Linked DNA regions of Arabidopsis thaliana. The protein of the gene in region 4 interacts with the protein of the main gene of each other region in a pairwise test. Each region holds a gene or a part of one and is shown on either strand. Other genes may lie near its edges. The genes, in order: ER, HB-3, ADT5 and ZR3.

Region 1 (7,879 bases), on a different chromosome or scaffold from region 4:
AATGCTTGTGCTAAAGATTAACATATATGAAGGATAACATATAAGCAGTATCCGGTAACTGAAGCGCTTATCATATGGAACTTTTAAATAAAAAGTTAAGTCATATGGACCAAGTTTGAAGTTTGCATACCAGCTCAGAATTTTGATTTGGAACGGAATTCATTGGTGGACCCGATGTAACAGAAAAAATTAAATTGCAGCCCTGCCAATTAAAACAAATGAAAGCTTTTAGAGTTGCATATAAACAAAAGCAGCCGTCATGAACTAAATCTAAATGTATTGAAATGAAACGACGCAACAGTCACATTCAGGGATAAAATGAATCTCAAAGGAGCAACTAACTGCCACAGACCTCCTTACTCCGGATTGCCATATGCCCAGGAGGTGGAGCTGGTAGTGCTTGTGATGGCAGAAAAACTACTTTACCCCATCCAATTTTCAGCTCATACTCATACACAATGATCCCTGTGAAATGGAGTAAAAAATATTTAGTGTCTTGCAAATCATAGCACATGCATCAAGGAAGCACATTTATTATCAAATCAGATAGTCAAATATTAATAAATTTCTATATTGTTAGGAGGCAGTAGTTTTCAACATTGTATAAATGAAGAAAGAAAAAATGGAAGCACCAAACAAAAGCAGTAACACTGACCAAACAATGAACTCTTTACGTATGCCTTCAACTGAACACGTTAAAGCAATTTCTTATAAGAAAAGTCAGGCTTTGCACTAAAGAACCTACTAAAATATGCTGATCTGAAGTTTTAGTTAAAATGCTATCGCTATGCAGGAACCTGAGAAAACAAATCTAGAAATAATCTTCATCTTTTGCTCTTTTATCATATTGTACACTGCGAACGTATTTAAGTTGAGAACCTCGCATGAACATACACAGTTCCATACTGAACGGTATAGCTAACCTTGCATTTTCTCTTTTGCAGCTTCTCCGTCGGCTCTATTCATGAAAGCAACAAAGCCACAATGCCTTTCTCGCCTTTTCTCCTCCTCTGTTCTTGGCCACATAATTTTAACACTAGCTATTGGCCCAAATCTTCCAAAAGTCCGCAGAAGAAAATTTTCATCAACCTAAAAAAAGACAATACCACAAAAGTTTTAGGCAAGGGAAGAAAATTATGATATATAGCTATGGAAAACAACGCAGGTATTTAAGTTGGATGAGAACAAACCTTAGATGAAAGATTCACAACATATAGATTTGTAGTTTGTGGGTCACCATCGTCCAATGACCCTAACCTTCCACTGGGATCAAAATAATCAGGTAGCTCATCAAAGCGGCTAGATGACTGAGAGAAGTACAGCCTTAATACCAGAAAGCAGTACGTATCTCTAAATAAACAACAGTACGTATTTGGTTAAAAGTAAAGACTATGACGACATACCGTGTTATCACTATTATGGTCACGGGAATTCTCGCGATCCTGGTTTCGCCTTTCTCTTATTTCTTGTTCACGCTTGAGCTCCTCCACAAAATGATCTATGTTTCGAGTCTTTCCCTTTTCCATCTCCTTTGATCTCTCTTCATCCCTCTAGAAAGAGGAAAAATTGTACTAATAATCAGTTAAACCATTACTTTAAATCAGGAACCAGAATAATATAAAATACTGATATGGTCTCTAACTACTGACCTTATTCTCTGGTCCTTTACCCTTAGATGCCAATGGTGGGGGGAGAAAGGAGGGAACATACCTGTAGAAATTACATGGAAGACAATCTTCTATATCACAAGAGCATGGACATTGGTTTTAACTTATCAAGCCATACGCATGGACAACATCTCAAAACCCACAGTTTATACTGATGAAGTAGGAAACCTCAGCTAACTGCTATGTGCAGATGACAGAAGTTTATTGTACTCCAAAACATCACAAACACAAGAGAAATGGAATTAACTCTAGCATTGTAACAAACACATCAAAGAGGCCTACACTAGAAATTAGATATGACAGAGATTGATTAATCAAAAGCAATCACAGTTATACCTACTCCCCTTCTTTGAAATGGAATCCCCATCTCTGGACTTTTCACCTGTGATCCGTGAATGCATAGAAGAAAACGTCCATACTTTTTTTAATTAACATGTTTCTCAATGTAATAGAAACATAATTCTACCAATCTACATGATCAAAACAATTCAATGAAACACAGAAAAACTAGCCTCCAGTTCTACTAGATGAAGCAATGTCGGGTTTCCAAGAGACTAACCTTGAGAATCAGGCTTGAGCTTATTATCATTGGGATTGATTGTCACCTCTAACAAAAGTCTTAGCTGCAGCATTATCCCCTTGAAACGATTCCACGGACTCTTGATACAGACGAGCTGTTTCATCCTCCGCTCTCTGCATTTACCATAAATTTATTCAAACCAATAGAGGCTATTGAGGATTTTGGTAGCTAAGAAAAGAAGAAACAAACCTTCTTCTTGGCTTCTTCTTCTTCTCTGTGTTTCTGGAACGGTGTTTTCTTCCAGGGTGATCGAGAAAGAACTCATCTTTCACCATCCAACTTTTCTCAGAATCGGAAATTTGTCAATCGATAATAGCACGGCACCAAAATGGTCTCTAGTCTCAACGCAGATTGAGAGATAAAGGTTAAAATGCTCCAGAAAATACCTTCTTCAGAGTTCAGTCTTAACCCAGTTTTTTTCTTGGTAAAGAGAATAATACACACTCTTTTTTTGTTCACTTAAAATTTACAAATCTTATATCATCAGATTACTTATTAACAAAAAGATTACTTTATACGAAGTATGATATAATTTCTAGTCGAGGACGATTCAAAATATCTCATCAATTTGAGAAGAAGAATTTGATATAGAAACTAGAAATGAGCTTAAAATTTGGATAGCAAAGATACTTTTAGTGGCTAACACATCCAAGAGAACCACAACTCTTTCTATGCATATTAATTAATGTTACATTGGCAAATATATATAATAACGAGTGATGATGCTTTAAATGGCCTCTCTCAACATATGTTTCTTCAGGTAAGACAATTTCATATGATGCTTCTTCTTCATCTGCCTCCATTGGCAATTCTCTTCAGATGGTGAAATGCCTTCTGCTTAATCCATTGCCTGTCATATGGCAGATATGCACTTATCGAGTGGTCATAGCTGCAAAATGACCAGAGGATTTTGTTAGAAAATCATAAGAACATTGACAAATCCCTTCACGATTCACACGCAATAACCATCTTTTTAGGAAAATCATGATACTAATAATGATTCTTTACTTGTTTAATTAGCACCAAGCTATCAATGAACTTAGTAGCAAACTAGCAATTAAATGATCATTGACAGTTTTGTTATACAACATGGGAATCCTACTAATCTCTATAAACATTACTAGCAAGAGATTTCTATAATATCTACTGTGAACTTGCAAGTGGAGAACTAGTTAAGAACAAGATATATGCAGTTTATCGAATATTAAGAGAGAATTTCTGAAGAAAGTTTCTTTGCAAAAGAACAACTGTGCATGTGCCTGTTGCAGCTTTGAGTTTAAACATTCCTAAATGTTTTTAACGACTACCAAAACATCCAGGAATTCAAAAGAATGGTATGAGTGGGAACAGAATACTATTATTTAGAGGGAAAGAGTAAGAATAAACACAATTCATGCTCTTTATAGATGATGCAATGTGGATCCTCCTTTTAGTTTATGTAAAAATGTGAAAGGGTGATGTGAATTTGACAGTACCTGGAAGGACCTAAAGCATTTAAGAGAAGAGAAAGGGGCAAGACTTACACCAAAGCGCTCAAGTCAGCAAGACCATCAATAAAATTGTAAAGGTCAGCAATGTCATAGCTAATATTTCTGAGAGAAGGGTTAATTTCCTTCAACTTCCTTTCATATAAGCCGCAAATACCTGTTTACGACCAGAAAAAAATCAGCGTTGCAAGCTAAAAACTTATTGCTTCTACAAAACCAAAAACAAAAAAACAGCTTCCTTAATTCACTTAAACACTCGGAAGAGAGGTAATGAACTTAAGAAACCTACATTTCTTCTACATTGCTAATTCCTCCACTTTATTGAGCAAACAAGTTAGTAATCAAAATACAAACCACTTTATTACCACTTTATTACCGAGCAGACTCATCACACACTATATATCAATCAGCTTATAGCACTGGTACTAAAATCTGAACTTCCTAATAAGTCACAGAAATAGCTACAGAATTATATAATATACATGTCGTAATTCAAAATCATCCATCTTGTTGCCACAAAGATAAACCTCAACATAATCATAACCAAAGTCAACAATGAGTAGACTAGTTAGAGAATGATGATTCGAAATTAATAATTACCATCCATAGCTTGGCCTATAGAGTCATAGTCCATGAAAGTCCTCGTAGCTCTGCTCGGAGAATTCTGCAACAAGATGATTGTGTGCCTACTACTGTTGTGATTAGCCTACACAACAAAGAAGAAAGTTGATAATAGTCAGCTTATAAGAACTGAGACAATCAAAACAAGTTTGAATTTCCTTCTCTATGTTCCGTAAACTAACGAGAAATCATCAGAAACTGAGATTCAAACTGCGTAAGGAACGATATTCGAAAACCTAACACGATCTAACCAAAAGGATTTGCTCAAATTTCTTCGCGATTGACTAAGGAATCACTAAAACTACACAAAAGGAACGTTAGGAGAAGAAATCGATTACCATCTTCGAGTGATATTGTGACTTCGCTAGCAGAGTTTGAGGTTTAGACGACGAAGACGAGAAGAAGAAGAAGAAGTTTCACTGTTTGAGAGAGAAAAACGAATACTGTATAACCCAACAAGAGGGCAAAATCGTAAAATAACATAGGGTCTCTGTCGCTTAACATGTGACATCAGATATAGTACGACAAAACGGCATGTATTTCCTTTAAAATATGAAAAAACTACAAGCTGTTTCCATCTGATTAGTAGATTTTGTTTCTTTGAAATTGTTCATGTTAGGCATTTACTGTTCGAAATGTTTCATGTTATACAAAATAGCTTTACAGAAGCAAAAGTTTAATGTCGTCATCATCATCATCTTCTGATTGTTTCTTTGGCAACACATCAGAAGGTACAAGATCATCCAAATGATCGGAATCTGGAACGAGGAAAACGAAACACACAGTGACGAGTCTCAAAATATTCCTTATCAGAATCACGAGCCAGAGATTTCCGAAATCGTGTCTCGTGACACCAAAAGCGTGAAGAACAAACCCTCCACCCCATTTAGAAGCAAGCTGTCCAAAACTATCAATGCACATGAGGAAAGCAAAGAAGGTGCCTTCGATTCCCAGAGGACAAAGCCTTGTACTGAGAACCACCATGGGGATCCACCTGATCTTACTTATCATCTTCGTGAAAGATTCTTCGGTTATCACAAACAAGGAATCTGGTATCCCGAGAGTTAAGTTCCAGCGTTTGATGAAGACTAGATCAAGCATTCCTGAGAAGACGTATAGAAGTTGTGCAAAGAAGAGTATGTTCCTAAAGGAATAGCCTTTGAGCTTCTTGTGATATATGAGAACTCCAAACATAGATGCCAATGCCCCGACTGCATAGATTATTCCCACAAACTCCTGCATTTAGACCAAAATAAGCAAGTTTGAATCTAGCTCATAATTACATTATTGGATAAAGAATTTTATTAGCTTGTTCAGAAACTCCATAGCTTTATATGTCAATGTGACACTACCACACAATCATAATTTCAACACCATTTCATAAGGCATGCAGATATTCACAAACCTAAAGACAAGATTTTTCCTAGCTAAAATAGGCTTTCAAGAGAAGTGACTCCATGGAGATTAATATAAACCAGCGAAACAGTCTGAAATATGATTCACATAATATCATGACATACTACCACAGTGTCAATCTTGAGCTTGCGATCCATGGGAACCTGTTTTTGCTAGCTTCCCATGTCGTTTAGTAACTATACTGGTTCCTATGAACTCAATCTATATAAGACCCAAACTGTTTAACCACTATCTTTATTCTTTAAATCAAGATCTTTAAAAAGAGCTTCTTCAGGATTGTACAACCAACCTGGGAAAAGGCGGGCCCAGCTGTAGGATCAGTGTACCAGTAGAAGTGGCCTTCATGAGTGCTGATGTTGAGAGCTAAGGATATGAACATGTAAAGAGATGGCTTCCACACTTCAGGGTACTTTACTGTTTTGCACATTCCCTTCACCGCTACTCCTAAGCCATCTGTGTCCTGAAGAAAATTCAAACGATTGCTCAAGAGTTCGATCAAGATTCCAAGTCATGAGATAAAGTCAAGAGGCATGAATTTTCAATAATCCGGCAGAAACAAATAAAGACAAGGAAAATTTCTGTTTGGATTATTCTGCTGCGACGCCAATTCTGGTCACTTGTGAGAGAGATCAAAGGAGTTGAGATTACAGGCTAAGGCCTCACCTTTTTGGTCTTTTGTGTAGGAACAGTAGAAGATCTTTTCTCGTAGATGAAAAACCCAAGTATGACGATAGTTGCAGGCGAAAATGCTAATACCCCTAATGCTCCCTATATCAGAAAAAACAAAACAGAAAAACGAGATTTCAAGTTTCTAATCTCGATATCTAAAGGGAACACGTCCTGAAAACGTGACTAAAAAGGTGTAAAGGCTCAACCTGAGGTCCAAGCTGGTGAACGAAGACTCCACTAGTTGCGTATCCAACCAAAGCGCCAGCAGATGAACAAACCATACAAAGGCTCTGTATATCAGGAGCCAAAGATCGGATATTGATGCTGTTTGTTGCTATACACGCATCAATCACCACATCTGCAATGGCCATAGCTGCAGAGACACCTAAGAGGCAGCTCAAAGCCAAAGCAGCGGGCAACTTACCAAGAACAACAATAGCAATCGCAGATACCAAACCAAGAACACCAGAAACTACAAAATACGGCTTTCTTTTGTAACCTTTGATAGGGAACACATCGGTGAAGAGACCCCAAATGGGTCTCATGACCCATGGAATGTAATATAACCCCATGTAAAGCTGCACAACCGATGGCTGCACTTGCTGGACATCTTTCCAGTAATAGTCTGTGACGACTTTGAATATCGAACCAGAGAACCCTTGGTTTACACCGTACACAAGGACCACACCTAGCACGAAGCTCAGGTTTAGCCTAGAACTCAGCATTTGTAACCATTGGAAGGGCTGAATTAGAACTGAGACGACAGCGTTTCTTCTTGCTTTTGTCTTGATCTCAGAATGATCTGAAATTGGTTTTAGGAGAGGTTTATCGTCTGAGAAGAATTTCTCAGTTTCTAGTGTTTCCATGGTGTTGACTGTTTAGGAGATGAACATTGGATCTGAAATCAAAATATCGAGAGCAAGAGCCTTTAATCGTTATTTTCAATGTAAAGGAAATGCCTTTTAGACTTTCAAAAAGGTTTAGACATTCACACACGAGGAAAAACAAAAGATATATTATAAAGTTTCCCACTTGACAATGACATTTACCTTGTTGACTTTGTAAGCAATGACGTCTTTCTTCAACTACCAGTCTGAAATTCTACAAAAACGAAACCAAATCGCTTTATTAGCCAAAATTCACAAACTCGATAGTATGATTGACAGATCTTGAAAGCAAAAAGAGAAAGTCAAATGTTTCATCTTCCCACCGAAACTCAAAAATCCTAATCAACATCAACAAACACCTAAACAATTACTTCAAAATCCAATTAAAAAATAGAGAAGGAAAGCGATATGCTGCTTCGTTGGAGGTCATTATCTTTGAGATTCCCACAAGCTAAAAAGACTACTATATATGACTAGAGAGTCATGGCTAGACACTAATCAGAAAAAAGAGAGAAAGAAAAGAAGAAGCAAAACAGAGAGAAAATGGCAGGA
Region 2 (8,561 bases), on a different chromosome or scaffold from region 4:
AGAAATCACCCCTAAAATTTTCTAGATGTCAACCACAGCTATTGCAAATATCACATTGCTGTTAAGATACATAATATATTTTATAGATGACAGGCTCTAAAAACCTCAATAACTGCAGTCTTCGTTTAAGTAAGTACACATTACTAGATTTTGTACTATAGTGGTTTTTACTACTGAATATTTATCATATCAAAATTCAAGAATGATTTTGAGGCTAACGAGGTGAAACCGTCGCTACTAAAAAATCTTTAAGTTATGTTTATACATTACAAATTCAAAGGTTCTTAAAAATCTAAAAAGTGAAAGTACTGAAAAACGCAAAATAAAATGGCTATATAATATGTGTATGGTTATGGATGGGTTCTTTGAAAAGAGAAAAACAAAACAAATTAAACTTAAACTAGTTAAAAAAAAAAAAAAAAAAAAACTTGAACTAGTTTTCTCTGTAATTCAGTTAATTTGTTCCTTAAGTATATTGTTTATTTTCAATTGAAAGGAACATCTAATTGTGATAAAACGAATTTGGTGAAACAAATGCAAAGGTGATCGATATCATTATTTTTGATATTTGAAATCTGATAACATGATATTATATGGTTAACAAATTGAAAAATAAGAATCTCTTATTTTTTGAAGACTCAAGCTAGATATGTTAATATTGGCCTTGTCCAAGTTTATACATAGTAATCCCAGTATATACTTTGAATGAAAAGGACCTCATATTATTACAGTATAGTTTATGATAAAAATTGTTTTTTCTTAATCATAAAATTCTTTAGAGTCTCACCTACGACTCTAGGCAAGGCTACAAGATACTGCAACATGAGATCTAGTTGTAGATTCATATATCTTATCCTTATCATTCGCAACATCTCGCTTATATTACAAGAGATCTAAATCATTATAGGTTTATCAATATTAACATCTTGGGCTATAGAAAAAGAAATATATATTGAGAGAGAGCAGAGAGTGAACATGGAGTGAGTGTCATATGAATATGATTCATCATGATGAGGAGAAAGAGTTAATATACTGTTGTGTCAGTTTTGGACGTAAGAGAAAGTTTGTCCCACTTGTTGGTGAATCCACAGTTCCTCTGGTCAACACTCTTCTGAACCTATTTTTTTGTTTGTCTCTTTCTCTTAGCTTTCTATTTTTTCTTTCTTGTCACTTCATAGATTTCTATTTACACTCTTTAATCTCATTTGTTTTCGTGATAACTTCTAAACTGCGATCGTAATTTTCTACTTTAATTGGGGAAAAGGCCAATAGTTCCTTTTTAAACACAACAATATCGATTTGGTTCCGTTATGATATTATTATGTTACTATACATAGCTTTTTACCCCCCAGTTGTTACAATACATAGATTTTGTTGGTTTTTAACTATTAAGTGCACACGGCAGCGTAGACAGTGACAACAAGTTGTCTATACGGACAATCAGATGTCCAAACTTAATGATAACTTATTCTTAACTTCACATATTTTTAAGACGTAATATGTTGCATTGTGCTAAACTATAAATGATGAGTTATTATATGATCAATAATAATAATGCGGTGATAAATTAACTATGTGAGAACATTGTTTAGGTTTCTAGTTTTAATTATAATTATATTTAGTAAGGAAATGGGTGCAAATTAAATGTTGTTTTGTAGATAAAAGAAAATAATATAAGCATGGGTAAAGATAACGTTAAAGCGACAAGATGAAGGAAACAGTCAAACAGTAGAAAGTAGGACTGTAGGACCATGTTTTTATTGAGAAACATTTGTGTGATTTGATATTACATTTTTATTATGCTCTTTTGACATCTGATTTGATCTAACAAAGCCCCTACCTAGCTAGACCTTCTTTGCATTCAACTACAATTATTTACCAGCGTTTTATTCTCTTTAATTCCCTTGAATACTCCATAAACATTGCAGCAAGAAAAAGAAAAAAAATATTACATTGCAACAAGGTAAAATATTAGTATCGAATCGAGAGTTAAAACTTCAAAGCAAAGGATCTTATCAACTGACTGTCAAAAACTCTGTTTCCTAACTTTGATACGTTACTTATTTATTTTATAAAAAAAATTTGTTTTCTTTTGATGAAAAAATATTCAGATTATATATTAACTCTGAATTCAGATTATACAAAAATTCATAACGTGGCTATGAATATCAACTATTGTTAATTAGCATAATTTCAATATAAATGAATTGTTTTGTTTTTGGCATTACAAATTACTTAATTGATTCCATGCATTGTGTAGTTCAAAGCAATATTTACTAATTAATTTTATCTAAAATAACTGAAACTATTTTTTTCGTACTATCATCATTCGACGCATTTTTATATTAAAAGAACTAAATCATCTTTGAAATCGAATTTTCATACATTTTTAATTTTAAAGGGTAATATATTTGATAGAGTACATATTTATTTATTGATTTTTTATATAAAAATGAGTGAACCGTCTATAATTTATAATTAATAATTATATTAGTGTAATAATGCATTTCTGAAGAGGGGATGGATTAGGTGTAGTATAATAATTATATTAATGTAACGTTTTAATCCCCGGGATTAAAGTGAAATATCACCTCACACGTGAACTGTAGTCAAAGTTCCCTACTTCCCGCATGTAAACCTTACATCACAGTCTAAACACTAAACATAACGCATGACCTAATTCACTTTCACACTGGGTGATGTGATGCTTCTACATTACTCATCCCCATATTAGCGCATTGTTTAACAATTCCACATATATAATCAATTTTTCAAGAAGAAGAAACAGAACAACATTATAGATTTCTTTAGATAATAATGAAACACACATCATATATTATTGGTCAACAATTTAACGAGAGAGTTTTGTGAATGTTGTCCGAAACTCATACATAAACACCGTCACAACAGGTAACTGAAACCAATACTTTATAAAATCTTAACATTTAAGCCTACGTACGAGAGATGGTGAAAGAAAGAGACAGGTCTTAATTTCTTCTTCAAACTCAAATCTCCCACACGACTAGATCTGCAAAAGCAGAAAAGAGACCTCGAAATTAAATCACATAAACAATTATATACACACACATGCAGGCACATCCTCCGAAATATGGTAGTATTAGAATTTATACTACAAAAGTCAAAATACACGAAGGCCAAAAAAAGAAAAAAAACCCCAATGAATGCTCTAAAGAAGCGCAAGGTGTGTGTGTGTAATTAAATTAGATTGAGTCAACATTGTTGACCTAAGCCAAACAACATGTCTCTCGCATGCATTTATCCATTTTAGATCCCAATGAAGAAATAAACTAGTACTAATATAGATGTATAAACTATAATTATATAGACATTAAATAAGTATTCATTTTACCATAGTTTATTTAACCGATAGAGTAGTATCTAGCTATAGTGGAACCTTAATTAGTATAACAAAGGAAAATAGAGAGGAAACAAAACCAGATAGTACGAGGCTCCGTGTTGAAGAGGGTGAAGAGCGACGCCATATTCATCGGTGACAATGGGCTGACCCGCGGAATTAATCAGAACAACCTCTTCCCCAAATGCATCCCTCACATTGAACGGTCCTGAGCTCACTTCAAGCTCCATTTCATTGATGAAAACTCTTATTCGTGCGTCCGCTGCATCCATATTTAGCCATTGTTATCCCATTATTTCATGTTAGTATAATGACTATAACAATCTATATAAAACAAAATTGTAAAGCTCACACAATCTATTTTCAAGAAAGAGAGAGAGGGTATATAGAAATAAAGAATCATCTAAAGGCTACTAAACATGAAGGTTTTAAAAAAAGATTTGTATGGATCAATGTGTCCCTTACATTGTTGACACAAAATTAATGTATCTCTACGATTGAGTAAAATTTCAACATGTATATAAGTAATCTATAACTTAAAAAGGGTGATAACTTTATATATTAACATTACCTTGAACTTGAAGCTGGTCCGAAGTTGATGGGACAGTAGCGAGAGAATGCGAAGTAGTAATAGTGGTGGCAGTAGAAGTAGTGGGAGGAATATGAAGCATGATGTTATTGTTGTTGTTGTTGTTGTTGTAAGAAGCTATTTGATGATTAGTGGTAGCGTAACAAATCTGAGTCTGTGGCTGTTGCAACATCTTCATCCTCATTTCTTCAACTTCTTTCTCACTCAAGTGTTGTTGATGATGAGTTCCATAACTCACACTACCGTTCATGATCTCACTCAGCAGGAGTCCGGTACACGTTGGAGCCGGTTTTTGTTGCTCAATCATATCACCGGAGAGAAACCCTAATTGGGATGAGACGGTGATACCTTCAAACCCTCCGACAGTGGAGACCGGGAAGAGAAACGCCGGTTCCGGTGGAAACATCCCCATCATTTGACTACCACCCAAAGAGAGATTAGTGTTGTTCTTGTTCTTGCTTTTTCGGGGTTTGGTGGATTTGGAGGAGGAAGAGGAGGAGGAAGAGGAAGAGGAAGCCGAAGGTTGCGGCTGCGGCTGCGGTTGCGTTTGAGGGAGAGAGTGTTTGGAGTGGTTGTGGAGGAGGCGGAGTTTGTGTTTACTACGGGACTTACGGTTTTGGAACCAGTAGAAGACGTTAGCATCACCGACTTGGCCGTATTCTTGAAGCTGAGCCCTAATCCTCCTGATCTCCTCTCTTGGAGGATTCACCATCCCGGAGTTAAAGATTGCTTCAAGTATCCGAATCTGCTCTGGCTTTGGATTCCATCTTGGTTTTGGCTCTGGACTCCTCTCCACTTCACATCCTAAAAAATTCACAATCTCATCAGATAAGAGTTCTTTAAAACAAAATTTAGTTTTGAATTGGTAAATATGTAGAAGTAGAAGGACCTGAAGAGAAAGGAGAAGATCGGTGAGAAGCAGAAGGCAAGAGAGGAGAGTTGATGTCATGTTGCCATTGATGGGGATGAGGTTTGGACTTGAACATGCTTGGCCAGTGTCTATTCGAAGAAGCCATAACTAATTAACTCGATCCGCAGAACACAGATGTATGTGTATGCATATGATGATGATTGATGTTGAATGATGATGTGATGATGATGTGATGTGTCAAAAAGAGAGGAGGAAGAGACAGGGAACAGAATGGCTAAATGGAAAGATAAATAAAAATGTGAATAGGGCAAAAGGGTTACGACCTCTTTCTCTCCCTCTTATAGCCTCTCTTCACCTACCCAACCTGTTTTCATATATTCATTCATCTCTTTTACATAAATTTAATTTAAAGTCTCACCCATATTTCTATACACCATTTCTCTTTCTCTCTATATCTATGTATCTATCTATGATGTATAGATGTGTATCTATATCATTATGTGTATATGTTTAGTAAAGACAAAAAAAACTATCACTACTTCTCTTGTTTAGGGAATCAAATGAATTAGAGAAGTAGGCTAAATCCTATTAACAGAAATGTTATAAAAGAAAATAGGAACACTGTTTTCATTACGTTTTATTATTAACTACTTCAGTCAAACAGTATGATTTAGTTGCATACTTGCATTAAATAGTTTTGAACAAAAAAAATTGCATTAAAAAGTAAATTTATTAATTCTATAGAAGGTCTTTGATCGCTTATATATAGATTATGAGGAGCACTTTGACATTTTAGATTTGAATCCAGTTTTGCTTGTCATGGTTCAATTATGATAAAATAAAAACTGTTTTAGGGGTTAGTTCCCTTTAGTGTCATCTAGTGGGAAAATGTGTATATCACCAATGGAAATTCAAAAGGCATTATTACAGTATTAAAAAAAGAGTGACAAGGTTAGTATTTAAGTACGTCAAAATGTGCTAGTCGACGAGTAGCCTATATTGCTATAACGTTAAATCACTGATGGATTGACCAATACTTCAATAACAAATAGAAGAAGACAATTTTGGAAATCTTAAATTTCTTCAACAGTCATTTGATTAGTTGTGTATCATGAGCGTTTCTTTTAGCCTCGCAAACAAATAGAAGACCGCATGCATTCACACTGTCTAATAAACCACTTTGAGAGTCCGAAGGAGCTTCACTGAATTAGCCCCAAACCATATCAATCTCACTCACAAATGACCAAATTGATAGCATACCCTGTGGCGAATGCTTAATACCATTAAATAATTTTATCATTTGTGTTTTTCATATATGTACAAAAAAATCCAAAATCCATATGAAAATAACTGATAGAGAGACTAGTTATATGTGCCCAAAAAAAAAAAAAAAGAGAGAGACTAGTTATATAGATTTATAGAGTGGGTACTGAATTATTTAAAAATATTCAATATTTATTATAAGAAATTATTTTAGCAATTTTAAAAAGTTGCCATACAAAGTCATCTGTAATTTTACAAGGGTATTTGAAGCGCACTCCAAAAATTTCTGTTTACTTTAGGTTTATACTAATAGACTCTGAATTCATATTACTAAATTAAAAAATTTAATTAGTAGAGCAATACAGATTTTCTGTTACTACATCCATATTAGAGTTTGCATGGTATTTCATTCGTTTGTTTTGTTATTCACATTCCTAATATCAATTTCTGAGATAGAAAACAGTAAGAGACAGGAAGAAACTCAAAGTGATCATTAATGCAACCCCATGCCTCACTTCCTTACACTTCTTGCATTAAACTCCAAACTGCTTCTGCAGTTCAAACGTACGAACACAAATTTCTTCAGAAATTGAAACAACAGATTCTTTGAAAGTGATCCATGTTTGGTTCTGAACTAGGATTTTTTCTCCTTTTTATTATTTTCTCCTCTGACATCTCAAAAAAAAACATTAATTAAAACAAGACAGAAAGATTGTAAATTTTCTCACATTTTATGTTTATTTATTAACTATAACAAGATGGGTTTTTATTATTTGCTTGTATTACAAAAAAATAAAATCATGTAGTTTCTGGATTTTCAGTCTGTGCAGAAGAGGATTCTCTCGGTCACCTTCGGGGCATCGGCCTTAAATTCGGATGGGGAGCAAATGGTTTGTTTGGACGTAGGAATAGTCATAATCAAATTAGCAAACACGATTTTAGGAGTTTTGTGATGTAATAGTACGGAAAAAAGAAACATGTATTAATGGGGAAAATACGAAATTTTAAGAGGTCAGGATGGGTGGTGGTGTATAGTAATTGCAAAGAAATTAAGGTCATTTTTTTTTGGATTGACTCGAGGGTCTTTGTTGATGATCGTTCCCTTTAATAACGTATTAATAATTCTTCAGTTTCTTTTGAAATATTAAGATTCTTTTCATCTGCATTTATTTCAAATATAAACTAAATGGAGCCTTTTTTATCAGACAAAAAAAAAAAACTAAATGTGAGCTTTATTTAAAAGACTAACTATTGAATGGGACTATGGGACAATGCTAAACAGTCTTAGTTTATAAATCATAACTTTGTGATAGGATGCAAATAAATCAAAACAAAATGTGGCATCTCCATTTAACACAAGCGGTTATCAGTGTTAACTAGATCTGTAAGTAACATTGCAAAGTCTCGTTCCAAGGACTGGTCCAAGATTATTAAGGATTCCAAAGCAAAACAATTTATGGCCTTATTTTTAAGCAAAAAAATAAAGATATTTTAGTTATGTGGATATAGTAGTATTTTATTTGTTCTTAAAATTAAAATATAAAATATATGTTTAGGCTGTTTTGGTGCTCGGGCCTTTGCAGCTTAACTTCGGCTGAATCAGAAAATGGCGATCAATGCAACCATTTAAATATCTATATTTCCATCTATTCTTATGAAACAATAAACAATTCGTTTTGATTGAAAAAAAAAACAACAACAAACAATTCGATGTACTATAAGTTTTTCAAGTTAATTTACTAATTAAGAAGATTTTTCCATGACAATCTACATACCAAAAAAAAGTTACTAATTAACATATCCTGCGTTTAATTTTTGGTTATAAGAAACGTCGAAGTGATTAACATACAGCCTGAATTTTTCCTATATGTTTTTGGGAGTATCTAGGTTTATCTTGTTATAATAAAATAGTTTCAAAATCTATCATTTCATAAGCTATTGGATTGGAATTGTACTTTAACCATCTTTTCATAAATAACAGAGGCTCAGTCTCTGAATTCTTCATATGCTGTGGTACATTTATACGTTTGCTTAGGTATACAATATATTTTCTTTCAATTTTATCAGAAAAATAGTATTGGCGTCATGGAGGAACCCTAGATTTCAGTGGGATGTTCAAACGGCAATCAATTTTGACATGTGTTTTACATATTGGGACCACTACAAGCGAATGAAAACCTTAAAAGCTCAACAAAGTACATCCAACTATTTTATTTTGGAAAATAATTGTATTTTCTTTGTAGCCAGGAAATTTCACAAAATAACTAACGCATGATGAATCATGAATGAAAACATAAGTTCATAGTTAGAGTTGGAATGCAACAGTTTAAAAATGAGCATGGGGCACAATGTGAAGTTAGCACTTATAGCACAAAGTGCGGAGAAGTTGCCACTTTCACTTCCCACAATTATCTTTTGCTTTGTTTTTTTTAAGCAATTATGGCTCTTCATGATTTCCTTAA
Region 3 (8,157 bases), on a different chromosome or scaffold from region 4:
TGGGCCGTTTCAAGAAACCAATGCATACAATGTTTGATATTTAGTAATTGCGTTACAAAAGTCTACTTTCAGGCTTCAGCTTTATACTGGATCCAATTGATCACCAACCAATTATTATTTTTTATAAATAATATTTGAAAATTCAAGTCTGAAAGATTTAGATGTCTCATAAACAAAAATCAATAGTATTAGATTGATTATCTCGTTTGAAGAAAAGATCCGTCTCAATTATCGTCGAACTCAGCATTTCTATCTGAAAGATTTACCACTTGGATGATATCAATTAATAATTTATCTAAACATATTTTAAATGTACACAATTTACGACAAAAACTAACGCAAATGATTCAATATTAGTGTGTTTAGGAGTGCTTAATTTACTTATTTTACTTGACCTGACTGCTTAAATTAATTGGTCAATCACCATATGCCACAGCCTCACATGACCAATCATTGAATAAGTTCGAGAACTCTTTAAGTGGAGTGGAAAATGCTGTCTGAAAACAACTACAACATAATGGAAAAATAAAATTCTTATTTTTTGGAACGAGATATTTCACGTTGAAAACAAAGCTCATCACATGATTTACGTGTATACATTTTTCTGCAGTAGTTAGATAAGCTACATCTTAAGAAAATAAAATCGTAGAAAATACATATTGAAGCCAAATATTTCTTCATTGATCACTTGACTTTCAATTTGTCACCTGAAACCAGTTTCGCGATACTAGAAATATAACGGAATAACAATGAACAATGAGAAATATAAGATAAAAATTGATCGAGCCATCGAGGGCTAGGCTGCTATTTGTCTTCATAACTTTAGGGTATAAACTAAGAACATTAATTAAAAGCGTAAAAAGCTTCTACTTGCAACACATTATAACATTCAATTCTTTCGTTAAATCTTATGCCATATCTTGGACCACAAATAGAATAATATTACTACATGAGATTTCTTGTATAATCACTAATTTAAGATCTCTAACTTAAACCGGAACCAAAACCAAAAGCTTAACCGGAATCTAAAGAAGTCGGCAAAACCTAAGTACAAGGCTCCCCCACACACTCACCAACTACCACAGTGTGCTCGACCTCTCTTTCTCCCACCTACCACCCCACTCCTGATTTCGCCATTTCTCTTAATTAATCAACCCTTCTATAATTAATTATAATAACATCAATTTAGTATATGTGATAATGTAAGTGTTTTTAATCATCTTTGTCTGTGATCATTATCAAGTTGCTTTCAAACAATATGACGATGGAAGTGTTTAATCCTATTTCTAATATCTTAAGAGACGACAACATTAATGCTGGTTTCGTCAAAATCCAAGAATAGGTTTAAATAATTTACAGGTAGAATTTTGTTTCCCCAATGTAACTAGATCTAATTTCGAGTTGTAGTTGAGAAATGATAATGCAAGCTTACATCAAACTAATATGAAACCTAAAATGCTAAGAACAAAGTCTATACGACCACTAAAAACATGACGAGGTTGTAATAACTTAGGGTATAAACTAAGAACATTAATTAAAAGGTTGTAACAAAAACATGACGAGGTTGTAATAATCCTTTGGTATGTTAGATTTCCGACCAGTTCTATCTGCCACCAAACTCTTTACGGTCAATTGACATAATTATACCGTCATCATATTTGTCCCTCATGAAATGTAATTTAACTACTATTTCAAATATATCATTAGTGTTTATGAGTATAATAACCCGCCATGACAAGATTCACTTCATCTCGATGATAACCATCAAGGACCCACTAAATGCTCAAATCAGTTCGTGATCTTCATTTTTATGAGTTATGACTTATGACCAAGACTACTCTCTTTTAAATTAGTTATTGGTTACCTTTTAGTTGGCAACTTTGTCTTCTCATTAACAAGTTAAACATTAATTAATTAGTACGGTGGAAGACTTTTATAGTTTATACATGTACGATATTAGGACACCAGGACACCACGCAAGATCTGACACCATTGTGCCAAAACAATAAACATTACTTGTGGAAATGTGAATTAATAAGAACCTCTTAATAATAATATTTTAATATGATGATCATATTTTCAACATTGCAGCAAATACAAATTTTCATAATTTTGAGCTTGATTAATAGTTCTTACCGCTCTACATGCTACAAAAATTGATTTTAAAATATGAATCCATTTATATTAGAACCCTTATTTTTCAGTGTTGCACAACCTAAAAAGTAAAAACATAACTCCACGGCATGAAGATAAAGAAACTGTACATGAAATATTGTAACATTGTCTACAACTTTAAAAGTACAGCTTAAGAAACATGTACAAAGAAACTCATATGCCAATTTTTTGTTTTGCTAAAAATTTAAATATCTCATAAAAATGAAAATGTTCAGGCTTACAATCGAAGATTATAATTCTAGAAGATGGATGTTAAGAGCATATGGTAGCTTCCACCACACCTAACTCTTTTGGCATGCAAAAATGTTTAGACCCTAAAAGATAGGTGGGAAATTACACATATCTAGTATAAATAGTCAAGTCATGTTAAATTATCTATCAAATGCAAAGTTTCGTGGAAATTATATGCCCAATTCTTTAGCAACTCGAACTGAATTTCCTGAAGATAGTTGAGAACTTTAATAAACTAATCAGTGAAAATTCATGGAAGTTGGCATAGTACGTATATACACGACCAGATGGATGATTATACTTTTGTTTCAAAGCAAGAAACATCAAACCGAACTCGTGTTCACACATTAATTTCGACTTTTGTAATATAACTTGTAATTTAATAACTTTATAGTTTAGAATCTGAAAGTCTTTCTTGTTCTGTTGGTTAACGTACGTGGGGAGTCTTAGAGCATAGCTTCAAAGATTATTGTTAATGATTCTGCTATAACAAATTCCGTTACAAATTAAGGTATATATTAGGTTCTCTAATTTTTACTACGAAAAAAATATGAGAATTAAAATGTGCTTAGCTTAAGAAATATCTTCAATTGTAATCATCAGAACCAAACTACAAACCGGTCTTGTTCCAATAGTAGCAAATACATACACACAAAATATTTGGTTTAAGAGAAATAAAATAATATTATCCTCCCACTTCACATGCAAAACGAGTTCTACAAATTCTACTTTAGTTTCCATGTATTTTACTTATGATAATTTTACCATAATGTTATTTAAAATTCAGATAAATTTTTTAATTGTGTCATACGTCTTCGCTAGGTAACGTGGACCATGGCGTCATATCCATTGGGTAACTTCCCAGCACCCTGAGGAATGACGTGTACTCTTGCACCTCCGCTAACGCGTTTTGTGCACGCGCCTCCGCCATCGACGCTTCGAAGTCGACGTAGAATGTGTACTCAAAGTGCTTCGATGTTCCAACGTTTTCGTCGCCTACGACTCTAACGGGACAATTCTGATGCGGCCGCGATTCGATTTTCGTCAAACTAATGTTTCGAAACGCAAACGCGGAAAGCACTTTGAATAAAACGCTAGTTCCTTTATGTTCTTGAGCTGCGAAAACGATACTCGTTTTAAACGGACGATCGGTACGGGGAATGATCGGATCACGCGCCAACATAAGGAAGCGCGTGACGTTTCCTGCGTCGTCTTGGATCCCGTCGGCGAGAATCTGAAGTCCGTAGAGCTCAGCTGCTCTTGCGCTCGCTACCGCCGCCGTGTCGTGGAGGTTGTTAGCAGCGATGTATTCCGCCGCCGCGGCTGTGTCGTGAAACGCTTCAATCGCTGCTTTTGGAGTGAGTTTGTTGAGCGATCCTTCCGTCTGAGCCAGAGCTTGAGGATGCGAAATCACTCGCGTGATGCAATCCGTACGAACTCCGGGAAGAGCTAAGAGACAGTGGTGAACCGGGATCTGAACTTCTCCGACGATGTGGAGACGGTGACGGAGGAGAAGATCGTAATTTCTATGAATCGAACCACCGAGAGAGTTCTCAACTGGGAGAACAGCACGATCGGCGATCCAAAGCTCCACCGCCTGAAACGCAACGTCGAATTGATCACAAGGAATAGCTTCGGAGTTTGGGTAAGCTTTTCCGGCGGCCGCTTCGGAGTACGCTCCCGGAACTCCTTGATACGCGACACGAAGAGTAGATCCATGAGACGGCGCGGGAGATAGATCTGTTATCGTTAACGGCTGAATCAATCCAGGCTTTCCGTTGTGCTGCGACTTTGACGGAACAAGGCTTAAATCAACGGAGCCGTTACTGTGTCCGTTAACGACGGCGACGGAGCTTGAATTCTCAGCCGAAACTACTTTACTGGCTAAGATGGCGCATGAGCTTTGCCAATCGGCTCGGCTTGAGCCAACACCGTTAGGGAAGCTAAACGACTCAGACCTGTAACTGCAACGAACAGACACGCGCTTTCCATTTACGTGAGAGTAACGCGCTTTCTTAGCCGTTAGATTCGGTTGAATTACGGATTTGAGATCGCACGAGAACGCAGGCGAAATGGTTTGCATGATTTGAGTCGAAAAATGAAAAAATTGCTGTTTATTTATTTTTTCTGGTAAGAGGAAACAAAAGAGTAAGATATAAACGACGAGTAGAGTACAGTTCAAGCTTGGAGTTCTATGGTTCAGAGAGAACTTGCAAGCTGAGAGATGATGGTGGAGAAGGAAGTGTTTATATAGTGGAATGTTGTAAAAGAAAGAAAGTCTTGACGTGTCTTGAAGGGTAGTTCCGTCAAATCCTTCACCTACCACATTTCATTTGATTTTCCTGAACGATATTTGTTGTTTATATTATAAAGTTGTTTTTATTTGAATATGTTCACTTTGCTTTGTTAGGAAAAAAATGGTGAATTTCTCGGTACGTGTTAATCAGTGGAGGCCTTTTAAAGATTTATTGCTGCTAATTGTGAGTAAAGATCTTTTTTCATAATAAGATAATGTCATTAGCAGATTTATGGATAAATGGACCATACGTGGCAGCTTTGCATATGTGGTCTCATAATCGAATGCTAACGTTCTTTCGAGATTTTGCTATGTTTTCAAGTTTCTATTTTGATTTTCTAAATTTTATCCTTAAAACTAGATTACTAAACAAGGTAACTAAAAGAACCATATTAAAAAAAGAGACCATGTGTATGAATATGTGGATTAGTAATTTAGTATCAAGTAACTATGTGGTGGTTATTTATTGGTTAAGGTTTTTCTTTTGAATGAAGACAAAGATCGATTTTTATCATATAGTCAAATTGTTGATCCCCATTATTATTGTTTCTCTATCTACACATTGTAAATAATTACCGAATAAAATTCATGCATGGGATATGAGTCTAGTACTGGATAATGATTGTAAAAAATTCCTAGAATGAAAATAGTAAGAAGAAACATTTAGCATAAGTTGTCATTTTGATATAATAACCCAAAAAAACTATAATAACCTTTTCAAATGATAAAATAATATAATTTTAAAAGTTAGAAGACGAACTATATGTGCAAAGGTATCCATGGAACATGGTCCAATCCATATCGCTCCCTAAATTTGGATATTTACATTCGTATATTATTTTTTTTCATTTTAAAATTTAGATGTATTCTCTTGTATAAAATACTTAATATAAATTGATAAATATATCACATATTATTTATGGTAGTCAAACTAGTTAATTATTTATTTTAAACCCAACAATAATTAAACCATATATATATATACCATATTATTTTCACTCCGAACAATAATCTAAACCATAAGCCTATACAATGAGACCTGGTTCACCTGATTTGATCTTTCAAACCAACCTTTCTTTAGTTTTAAGTTTATGTGGATGCAGACTTTCAATTTTCAATTTTGGGTGTTTTAAAAATAAATCTTTATATACATAATTAAGATTATGAGAGTGATCGATCTATATCCTTAATATCTTTAAAATATATGCTCTTATATACCTTTTTTGTTTATCTTCATACATTAATCAATAATTAATTAGTCGCCTAACAATAAATAAATAATTGTATGGCTCAAAAAAATTTAAAACATAAAGTGGGTTTTTCCTTAAGAAGCTAGATTATACTAGCCTCAGAAATCAGAATAAACCTGATTTGCACCATTGAAGGAAACCTAGTACAGCAACCCACTCGAACAAACCTGATCGATCTGCACCATTGAAGGAAACCTAGTACAGTGGCCCAACTCGAACAACCACATACACACAAAGAACTAGAGAGACATATATGTAGGTAATACATCTAATTTAGTGTTTTATCATATGACAACACATAAGACATACAAAAATCTAGTGAGACATATTTGTGGATGTAGATTATCCTAAGATATATATAATCTATATCTCTAACTCTAATAGAATGTATATTGATTGCATACCCTACTTTTTAACCCATTGATTAAGCCATTTATCAATGAGAAAAAGAGATTCTCATGTGATGCAGTGATGCTAACAAAAAGTTTACATACTAATTTATACTAAAAAATTATGACGCTAATATAAGTTTATGTACTAAATTATACCGAAATATTATGTATAATAAATTATTAGAATGCAGGAAATAAAAGAATCACTGACAACTTAACAAGTAACAACAGCTCCAATATGCCACGATTATGTAATTCGTGTGTCATATATATGTTTCTTCTCGTTAAAGTTAAAGATATATAGGTGTGACCTCAGGTCTCAAAAGTGAAGCCCAGCTTCTAATATAAATATTTCTAGTTTATTTTCTTCGTTTTGAAAAAAGAAAACACATATTCATAATATATTGAAAATAATATCGTTTTATAACATAAGTAAACAATCAACAAGCAATTGTTGGCCGTAAAAGATTTATCGATGGGGTTGTTGAAACCTTTTTTAATTCATAAACTTGTAAAGGTTTAATATGGCAAAGTTGGTGAAACCCAAGTGGGACTATCTAACATTGCACCTAAGCATGCTGAATTGATCCTTTCTACATTTCTTTTCATCTGTCTTGACTCTTGATTAACGTTTGAAAATCTTTTTTTAACTTTGTTGTCAAATATGATTAGCGACTTTATTTTTACCTTTTTTTTTTATCATGACCTATATCTCGTTCTAAATTACACCTTTAATTAGCAAAATGGTAGGAATATGCGAAAAAATACATAACTAAAAAATGGCAAATTTCTTTCTACCAGTTTCATGCCATATCGAAAAGAGAATGGCATGTTTGTCTAAATTCACCTATCAGATCAATTGTTTCTCAAACCTTTACGTACAATTTGTTTTCCTAACGTTAACATAGCTAGCATGCGCAGTGCGCACGATGATCTGAGAAAACAAAAAAGATTTGGTGGGATTTTAACTTTGATTAATGGATAAGATATATCGTTCAATTTTATAAAATAAAATTATAAGAAATTCAACCATTTGTAGCATATGATTAACGTATATGGAAATCTCTAAAATGGAAGAACTAATTAAGGGGTTCGATTTCAAATTTTCGGTAGTGCTTTTCTCTTACCACCAGGTTTAGGTTCGCTTTTGTTTCAAACCAAAACAACTCATTTTATCTTGAAAAGAATTAACATTTTTCTACAATTCTTTTTCTAAGTCTATAGTTGATAGTTTTTTTTCACCACAGACCAACCCAAAGAGTACCAAAGTACGATAGGAAAAATAAAGTCATAGTTAATTACTTAGATTGGTAAGAATATTTCCAAACCTAAACAAATCAAACCGAGACCAAACCAGTGAAAATGGATTATAAAAATATTTGTACTATTGACTTTATTTCTTGTTGACAAAATTGACTTCATATTAACTTAGAAGATGCACGTGTTACATGTTCACGTTAGTATTGAAGGTTCTACGTCTTTGCAAAATGTGAATAAAGTAACCAAGTCCCACTAATACGGCACGTGAACCTTGTTATTTTCAATTATCTCGTTTGCTTCTCTTTTGGCTACAAGAGTCTCTGATGGTAAGCTTCGTTTCGTAATACGTAAAAAGGTAAAATTGTATTACCATTTGTGGGGGTTTTTGTTTGTTGGTCAAGGAAAATTGTGGTTTTTATGTTTTAGTTTTTTGTCCTCACCACAAATGATAATATTTTTATACTGAGTGGTACTTTATCGAAAAATGATAATAGACATGTTCGTTTCCATCAACCACAATTAAATGTTGTTTATATGTGTCGATAAATTGTAC
Region 4 (7,506 bases):
AAGCTAGCCCATACTCAACGGCATGGCCTAAGAGTTATAGGTATCATGATTCTCAAATTTCTAACGTTAATGTTAATGCTTCTTTGTCATTTGTGTTTACTTAATTACTCATGTTAATGTTTCAGGCAATCGATTGATATGTTTGGAAGTGTACCATCACCAAATTTGGGTTTTCTTGCTAATTCTTCTATGTCGAGAAGAGGAAGCTCATTCATGTCTTCGACACTGACAAGAAGACATACTCCAGAATCATTACCTTGTGTTACAAAGCCTCTCCTAGAAGATGAAGAAGCACCAAAACATAAACTTAGCACTCATTCTTTGCTTCCGTCGAAACCATCGTCATCCATGGTGGTGTCTCATGATATGGGAATCTCCAATGATAGCTCCTTTGGACAGGCTGTTCTTAATGGTGAGTTTCATCACAACTACTTGGTAATCTCTATGATGGCACTGTCAAACTATTTTTTCGGTGTGATCACTTGAAGTTAGACTAATTAAATAAGAGATCTAATACATATGTAACACCAAAACTATTCTTACATTTTGTCCAGCAAAAAAATAAAACACTTTAGTCCTTTTTAAAACAAAAGTTATTAACTAAGAGACAATAGTATCAAAACTTGTGAATAACAGAAAAATAACTGACAAGTCTGCTCTGTTCACTGACACTATGTAAACCTTAACTAGTTAAAATTCTCTGAGTGATGAGATACATGTGCAGGAGTGAATGTTTTATGTGGGGTTGGAATATTGTCAACACCATATGCTGTGAAGGAAGGAGGATGGTTGGGACTTATCATTCTCTTTGCATTTGGTATTCTTTGTTTTTACACCGGTTTGCTTCTGCGGTACTGCCTCGACAGCCACCCCGATGTCCAGACCTATCCTGATATTGGCCATGCCGCTTTTGGTTCCACCGGCCGCATCCTGGTCTCCGTAAGTAAAGAAAATCTACTCATCTATACATTGTTAATTTGAGGGTTATTATATATCACTTGTGACAATATTTTACAATTATCTTTCTTTTGATTGCAGGTAATACTCTATATGGAGTTATATGTAAGAACAACTTGCAATTCCTCCAATAATTTTCGTTATATTATATAGATAAAGACAAAATACATTTTTGAAAGTTTCAAAATAAGTACCTAAAATGAATCTCAAGTCAAAACAATGGACCACATGTGGAGTAGACAACACCTTTGCCCACGGTCCATATTGTTTCCCTCTCTCTTGTTTCATAAATGAAATATTTGGTTTTTAGTATAAGAAAATGTTGAAATTCATCAACTACACATTGAAATATTTGTCTAGAGAGAAATTCTGAATGTTCCTATGATATGGTAAAGTTACACAAAGTTTGATACAAGTTATGGTAAAGTTACACAAAGTTTGACACAAGTTCATTTTGCATGCAGGCTATGAGTGTTGAATACATAATATTGGAAGGTGATAATCTTTCATCAATGTTTCCAAATGCTAGTCTAAGTATTGGAGGGTTTCACTTAGATGCGCCTCGTCTATTTGCTCTGCTTACCACCCTCGCTGTTCTCCCAACCGTTTGGCTTCGAGATCTCAGCGTACTAAGTTACATTTCAGGTATAAAACATTCAATCTAAAAGGACCTTTTAAAGATTCTTTTTTCATATATGTGAATATCTTAACCTTGATCTTGCAGCTGGAGGGGTGATTGCATCAGTGTTGGTGGTTTTGTGCTTGTTTTGGGTTGGTTTGGTTGATGATGTTGGTATTCACAGCAAAGGAACTCCACTAAACCTCGCAACATTACCGGTTTCTGTAGGACTCTATGGTTATTGTTACTCAGGACATGGTGTTTTCCCTAATATTTACACTTCAATGGCCAAACCATCTCAATTTTCTGCTGTTCTCTTGGCATCGTAAGCTTAAATATAAAGACATTACACATCTTAGGAACTCTCTACATTTCTATCTTTTACTGACAGTATCAATTTTTATTTTTTTTTCACAGTTTTGGAATTTGTACTCTTATGTATGCGGGTGTTGCTGTTATGGGATATAGCATGTTTGGAGAATCAACAGAATCACAGTTTACTCTTAACTTGCCTCAAGATTTGGTTGCATCTAAGATTGCTTTGTGGACTACAGTAAGTTTTTTTTTTTCACCCTTCCTCTGCTTATTACATGAAAGTTGGGATGATTTTCACTAAATTTGGTAGCTAGCCAGGTGAGGTCATCTAAGAGTTTTTTTCCTTGCCTTTTTTGCAGGTTGTTAATCCATTTACCAAATATCCTTTATCAAGAAATATTCAGAGACTTTTCATTTATCTCTGTAATTTTGTCATAAGCTTATTCATAATATAAACTGAAAATTGTGTGGCCTTAATAGAAAGAAAGCACATATGCTTTGACATTATCTCCAGTTGCAATGAGTCTTGAGGAGTTAATACCATCAAACTATGGGAAGTCACGTTTCTACGCAATCGCCATTAGAAGTGCATTAGCCATCTCTACTCTGCTCGTTGGTCTTGCGATTCCCTTCTTCGGTAAGGACAAACGAAAAATATACATGTAAAGAAAATAAGTGTCACTTCTTTTGACACTCAGAATTCTTGCAGGCCTTGTCATGTCACTGATTGGATCATTCTTGACAATGCTCATTGTAAGTTACACATTTGTTTCATCCTTTTCTGGTTATGTAAAGCAAATTCTCATATTGCAGTTTCATAGTGAATTTGCTTAGCCTGACAAAGTTTCTGGACACAGACGCTGATACTACCGCCAGCTTGTTTCTTGAGCATCTTAAGGAAAAAAGTAACCCCTACTCAGGTATGGCCTGCTCACTTACTGATAACCAAACCGAATATCGAAATTCCTCAAACTGAAATCGATATAACAATCTGTGGTTTGTTTGCAGGTGACAATCTGTATCTTAATTATGACAGTAGGAGCAGTATGTTCAGTCATTGGCACATATTCAGCCCTTGCAAAGATCATTGAGAAGTTGAACACCTAAAACTGATCAATCTTGAGATTCTTATTTTGTTTCTCTTGAGATTTTGTTTCTGTCTTAAATCAATGGAACATCTCAACCTATATGGAACATTCCAAACACATAATTGTATTAAACATCTTCTGCATTTAAATGTTACCAAACAGTGAACTACAAGAAACAATTATAATACTGGAACATAAGGTGAAGTTCTGTTCCATAATGGTTAAGTAGCAAAAGCAAAGAAGATCACTCCTTATTCAGTAGAAATCTTTCCTCCAGCTAAATCTTCAGGAGTTAGGTTAAGAGAATCCATGGATCCTTTCTTGAATTCTTCCCCTTGAGAAGCAAGGAAGTCCTCCACGCTTCCTGGTTCTCCAAACCAACCACGACGGTCTGCAATCAAATGTAGATTATCACACCCTCCACATCGTACCACCACAACGCCGTTTTCATATGATTCTCGGCTCGCCATCTTCATAGATCTTGTATCACAGACCTTGCAAGTGAAGACCATCATGAAGTCATGCCTCGGGTTTATTTTTAACTGGGACTTGTACTTCACCATCATTTCCTCAGAGGGCGTCGCAGGGGAGGGAACTTTGGCCGATTCAGTAGCAGAGTTTGACGAGTTGCAGACATTGGTTACAGAAGCTTCATTTGCCTCACGGATTACAGATAACTGTCTCTGAAATAATCTTCCATAAACATGACTTCTGCTGAAGAGTGAGTTTGATAGCGACAACTGCTCTGTTGAGACTATTTTCAAAAAAAAAAAGATAATCAAGAAAGATCAATTTAACAGTAGTTGTAGTTGCACGAAGCTAAAACAGTCTGTACCATAACAGGACATCATAGGAACCTCCTAGGATAATGTTTGCATCAAACCGTAGACTAATGCTAACACATCTTAGTCAGGAAATATATAACCAAACTTGAAAACTTAACCAGCGTCTAGCTGAAATGCCAATGTTCACAGCTACTGCTTAATGCATAGAGATATGTTGAAGACAAAGCACTTATGTGAGCATTCATAACTTCAGGTTTCGTAGAAGCACTTCTCTAACTCCAAAATGTAACAGAGCAAAGACGATATTAGATGATATACACATGAGAATACGAGTACTCATCATCACTAATGCCCCAAATCTCTAAAAGCTACAAAAACAACCCTAAAACCAAAATCTCCCCAAAATCCTCTTCTAGTGTAAATTCAAACATAAAAACCACAAATTTACATGAATCTCAACCAAATTCATCAAAAGAAACATCAAGGCAAGTATAAATTACACAGATTAAGAGACCAGTTTAACTCTAGTGCCCGATTTTCAATAACTCTTTAATTTTTCTTAAAGATGACAAAGTTGAGAAGGAGAGAGATGAAACCTTGAGACAAAGGAAAACGATGTTGTTGGTTGCTGAAAAGAGACAAAGCGCGTCTCAAAGCAAGTAACCTAGCGGCCATTGACAACCTGAGGGAGAGGAGGAACTCGACGCTTCTATTTTCCGTGAAATTTTGGAATCGGAGCACAATAAAAGAAGCCTTTTTAATCATTAGAGTTAGTTTTCGTTATGGTCAAGTCAAAATCTAAACCCAGGTTCGAACCACTGAGTGAGCCACAAGTAGACCGACCTTTTTCTTCTTTTTTTTACGTGAGGAAAAAGAAATTTGTGAATTGAAATCTTATCTAGAAAAGAAAAAAGAAAAAAAAAATCAGAACAAGCAGGAGAATAATGTGTGTGATACAGGATATTGAGTAAGGCCACGTGGACGGCTGTGATTAGAAGATCAATGGACGGCTGTGATTCAAATTAAGTGTGCGTAGAGCTGAAGCTAATAAATATCAAGTGTCATCGTATTTTCATGTTATCGTTGAAGTTGTTGTTATTCCTTTCTCTCTGAAAACATTCCGAGATTCATCCTCTGCATAGAACGTCGATTCTTGCGAGGTGAATCCAGAAATCCCTTGTTTTATGAACATTGGATTTCATTTGTTATTTACATCGTAATAATAAGTAATCGGAGTTGTTGATGATTGCTTTGGTTGATTGATTGTGTTGTGGTGTGGTTTTACTGTATTAAAGGTATCAGAGCAAAGACGTTTCTCGGAGATGGTGATCGAGACTCGAGCTCAGGAGTTAGCTCAAGCTCGTCGAGAGAAGGCGTTAGAAGCAGAGGAATCGATGGAGTCACAGATGGAGAAGATCGAGAGCAAGATCGATGCTCAAAATCTGAAGATCGAGCGCCATATCTCGGAGATGTTTGAGGCGATCCACATGCTGTCTCCATCTAAGCAGTCAAATCTGGGTGAGACTCATCAAACAGCTCGTGCTTCATCCGCTTCAGCAACAGACGTGGATTACATGAGAAGGCAAGGTCACGCTAACAATCATTCGGGAGTAACAAGGTTAGGGAAGTTGGATTTTCCCAGATTCAGTGGTGAGAAGGTTAAGGAATGGTTGTTTAAGGTTGATCAATTTTTTGCGGTGGATCCTATACCTGAAGAGATGCGAGTGTCTGTAGTTTCTATTCATTTGGATGGTCTGGCTGCTACTTGGCACCAGAATATGATTGAGGATGAAGTGCAGGTTCCTGAGTGGGGTGTGTACAAAGCTAGGATCAGGGAGAGGTTTGAGATGGTTGGAGAGGATCCTATTGCTGAGCTGAAGAAGTTGCAGGAAACAGCTGCTAGCATTGATGACTATCACGCAAAGTTTGAGGCGATCCGGACTCGAGTAAGGATGACGGAGGATTATTTAGTGAGTGCGTATTTGGTTGGGTTAAGGATTGAGACACAGATGCATATCCGAATGTTTCAACCCCAAACGGTGCGGCAGTGTTTGATGTTGGGACGTCTCTATGAAACTGCTCATCCTGTGCAGAACAATGCGACTTCTTGGAAGAACAATAAGGCTACTTCAAAGGGCCAGTTCTCCTTTAAGAAAGACATGGAGCAGCAGGGCAATAAACCAGCGTTTCAGGAAAAACCAAGAGACACACAACAAAATCAGCCAAGGCGGTTCTTATCTACTGAAGAGATGAGTGCTAGGAGAGCTAAAGGATTGTGTTATTTTTGTGATGAACAATACACATCTGAACATTATAAGATTCACAAGAAAACACAATTGTTTGTTTTGGAAATGGAAGATGCTGAGGAAGTGTTCTTGGATGCAGAAGAAGAGCATAAGGAGTTAGTTGGGGAAGTAGCTCATATCTCAACTCATGCTATGGAGGGTATCTCAACTTACAACACTATGCGAGTTAAGGGTACAAGTCAGAAGAGATCCATTTTTATGTTGGTTGATTCGGGTTCCACTCACAATTTTATGGATCCTCAAATGGCAAAGAAGTTGGGTTGCTCACTCCTACCTAGTGATAATGCAAGAGTACGGGTGGCTGATGGTTACAATCTGAAGGTGATAGCGAGAATACAGAATTTTAAGTGGGAGATTCATAACACGACTTTTGTAGCTGACTTTATGGTAATTCCTTTGAAAGGAATTGATGCAGTTTTGGGTGTACATTGGTTGAAACCTCTAGGTCCTATTACATGGGATTTCACATTGTTGACAATGCAGTTTAAATGGGATAAGAAACGGGTGATGATACATGGTATTCAGCCTTCGTCGGTGCGTGCTATCAAGGCTGACAAATTGAACAAACTGAGAGACTCCGAAGTTCAGCTGTCTATGTTGTGTGTTGCAGACGCTGATGAGGATGAGGGAGAGGTGTTGCAGTTGTCTTCTTTAACAACAGAGGTGTCACCACCAAGTACTACTTCTGCTATTTCTCAATTACTTGATGAGTATAAGGATGTGTTTGCTGAACCTAAAGGGCTGCCTCCTTCTCGGACACATCATGATCATCCAATTCCTTTGATTGAGGGCACTAATCCGGTGAACATGCGACCATATCGTTATGCTAATCATCAAAAAGATGAGATTGATAAGATTGTCAAAGATATGTTAGAGAGCGGTATCATCCAGCCTAGTTCAAGTTCATTTGCCTCCCCTGTGGTTTTAGTGAAGAAGAAAGACGGCTCTTGGAGATTGTGTGTGGACTACCGAAAGGTGAATGGAATTACAGTGAAGAATTGTTTCCCTATTCCTCTTATTGAAGATCTTATGGATGAGTTGGGTGGGGCAGTGATCTTCTCGAAGTTTGATCTAAGAGCGGGTTATCATCAAGTGAGAATGGTGGAGAAGGATATTCCCAAGACTGCTTTCAAGACTCATAGTGGTCATTTCGAGTATTTGGTGATGCCCTTTGGATTGACCAATGCACTAGCTACTTTTCAAGGGTTGATGAATTCAGTGTTTCAAAAGTTTCTAAGGAAGTTTGTCTTGGTGTTTTTTGATGATATCCTTATCTATAGCAAATCAAAGAAGGAGCATTTGCAGCACTTAAAACTGGTATTGGAAGTAATGAGGGAGCATAAATTATTTGCCAAACGGAGTAACTGTGCGTTTGCAACATCAAGAGTCGAGTACTTGGGTCATTTTATTGACAGAGACGGACTGTCTACCGATCC

Evidence for each region.
Region 1: the proteins of ZR3 (region 4) and ER interact in a two-hybrid assay, tested with the Arabidopsis thaliana proteins (one large-scale study listed by BioGRID).
Region 2: the proteins of ZR3 (region 4) and HB-3 interact in a two-hybrid assay, tested with the Arabidopsis thaliana proteins (one large-scale study listed by BioGRID).
Region 3: the proteins of ZR3 (region 4) and ADT5 interact in a two-hybrid assay, tested with the Arabidopsis thaliana proteins (one large-scale study listed by BioGRID).

The regions. Positions count from the first base shown.
Region 1 is NC_003076.8:3,415,861-3,423,739, forward strand, and holds ER (enhancer of rudimentary protein), read right to left. Parts: upstream 4,833-7,879; 5' UTR 4,697-4,832; coding exon 4,694-4,696; intron 4,441-4,693; coding exon 4,335-4,440; intron 3,892-4,334; coding exon 3,771-3,891; intron 3,137-3,770; coding exon 3,037-3,136; 3' UTR 2,750-3,036; downstream 1-2,749. Other genes in the region: AT5G10800 (RNA recognition motif (RRM)-containing protein), read right to left, coding at 131-202, 353-465, 924-1,089, 1,191-1,307, 1,404-1,550, 1,650-1,710, 2,004-2,049, 2,227-2,360 and 1 more; AT5G10820 (Major facilitator superfamily protein), read right to left, coding at 5,016-5,591, 6,061-6,231, 6,435-6,539, 6,647-7,306; AT5G10830 (S-adenosyl-L-methionine-dependent methyltransferases superfamily protein), read left to right, coding at 7,871-7,879. UniProt on the Arabidopsis thaliana protein: May have a role in the cell cycle.
Region 2 is NC_003071.7:14,338,617-14,347,177, forward strand, and holds HB-3 (homeobox-3), read right to left. Parts: upstream 5,163-8,561; 5' UTR 4,982-5,162; coding exon 4,855-4,981; intron 4,770-4,854; coding exon 3,948-4,769; intron 3,639-3,947; coding exon 3,421-3,638; 3' UTR 3,029-3,420; coding exon of another isoform or gene 3,023-3,028; 3' UTR 2,806-3,022; downstream 1-2,805. UniProt on the Arabidopsis thaliana protein: Homeodomain transcription factor required for meristem growth and early development. Promotes cell proliferation and prevents premature differentiation in meristematic tissues during postembryonic development.
Region 3 is NC_003076.8:7,520,977-7,529,133, reverse strand, and holds ADT5 (arogenate dehydratase 5), read right to left. Parts: upstream 5,049-8,157; 5' UTR 4,490-5,048; coding exon 3,212-4,489; 3' UTR 2,864-3,211; downstream 1-2,863. UniProt on the Arabidopsis thaliana protein: Converts the prephenate produced from the shikimate-chorismate pathway into phenylalanine.
Region 4 is NC_003074.8:20,307,377-20,314,882, reverse strand, and holds ZR3 (Zim17-type zinc finger protein), read right to left. Parts: upstream 4,615-7,506; 5' UTR 4,530-4,614; coding exon 4,361-4,529; intron 3,734-4,360; coding exon 3,231-3,733; 3' UTR 3,029-3,230; downstream 1-3,028. Other genes in the region: AT3G54830 (Transmembrane amino acid transporter family protein), read left to right, coding at 1-40, 126-412, 725-939, 1,039-1,062, 1,422-1,602, 1,682-1,901, 1,994-2,129, 2,251-2,314 and 4 more.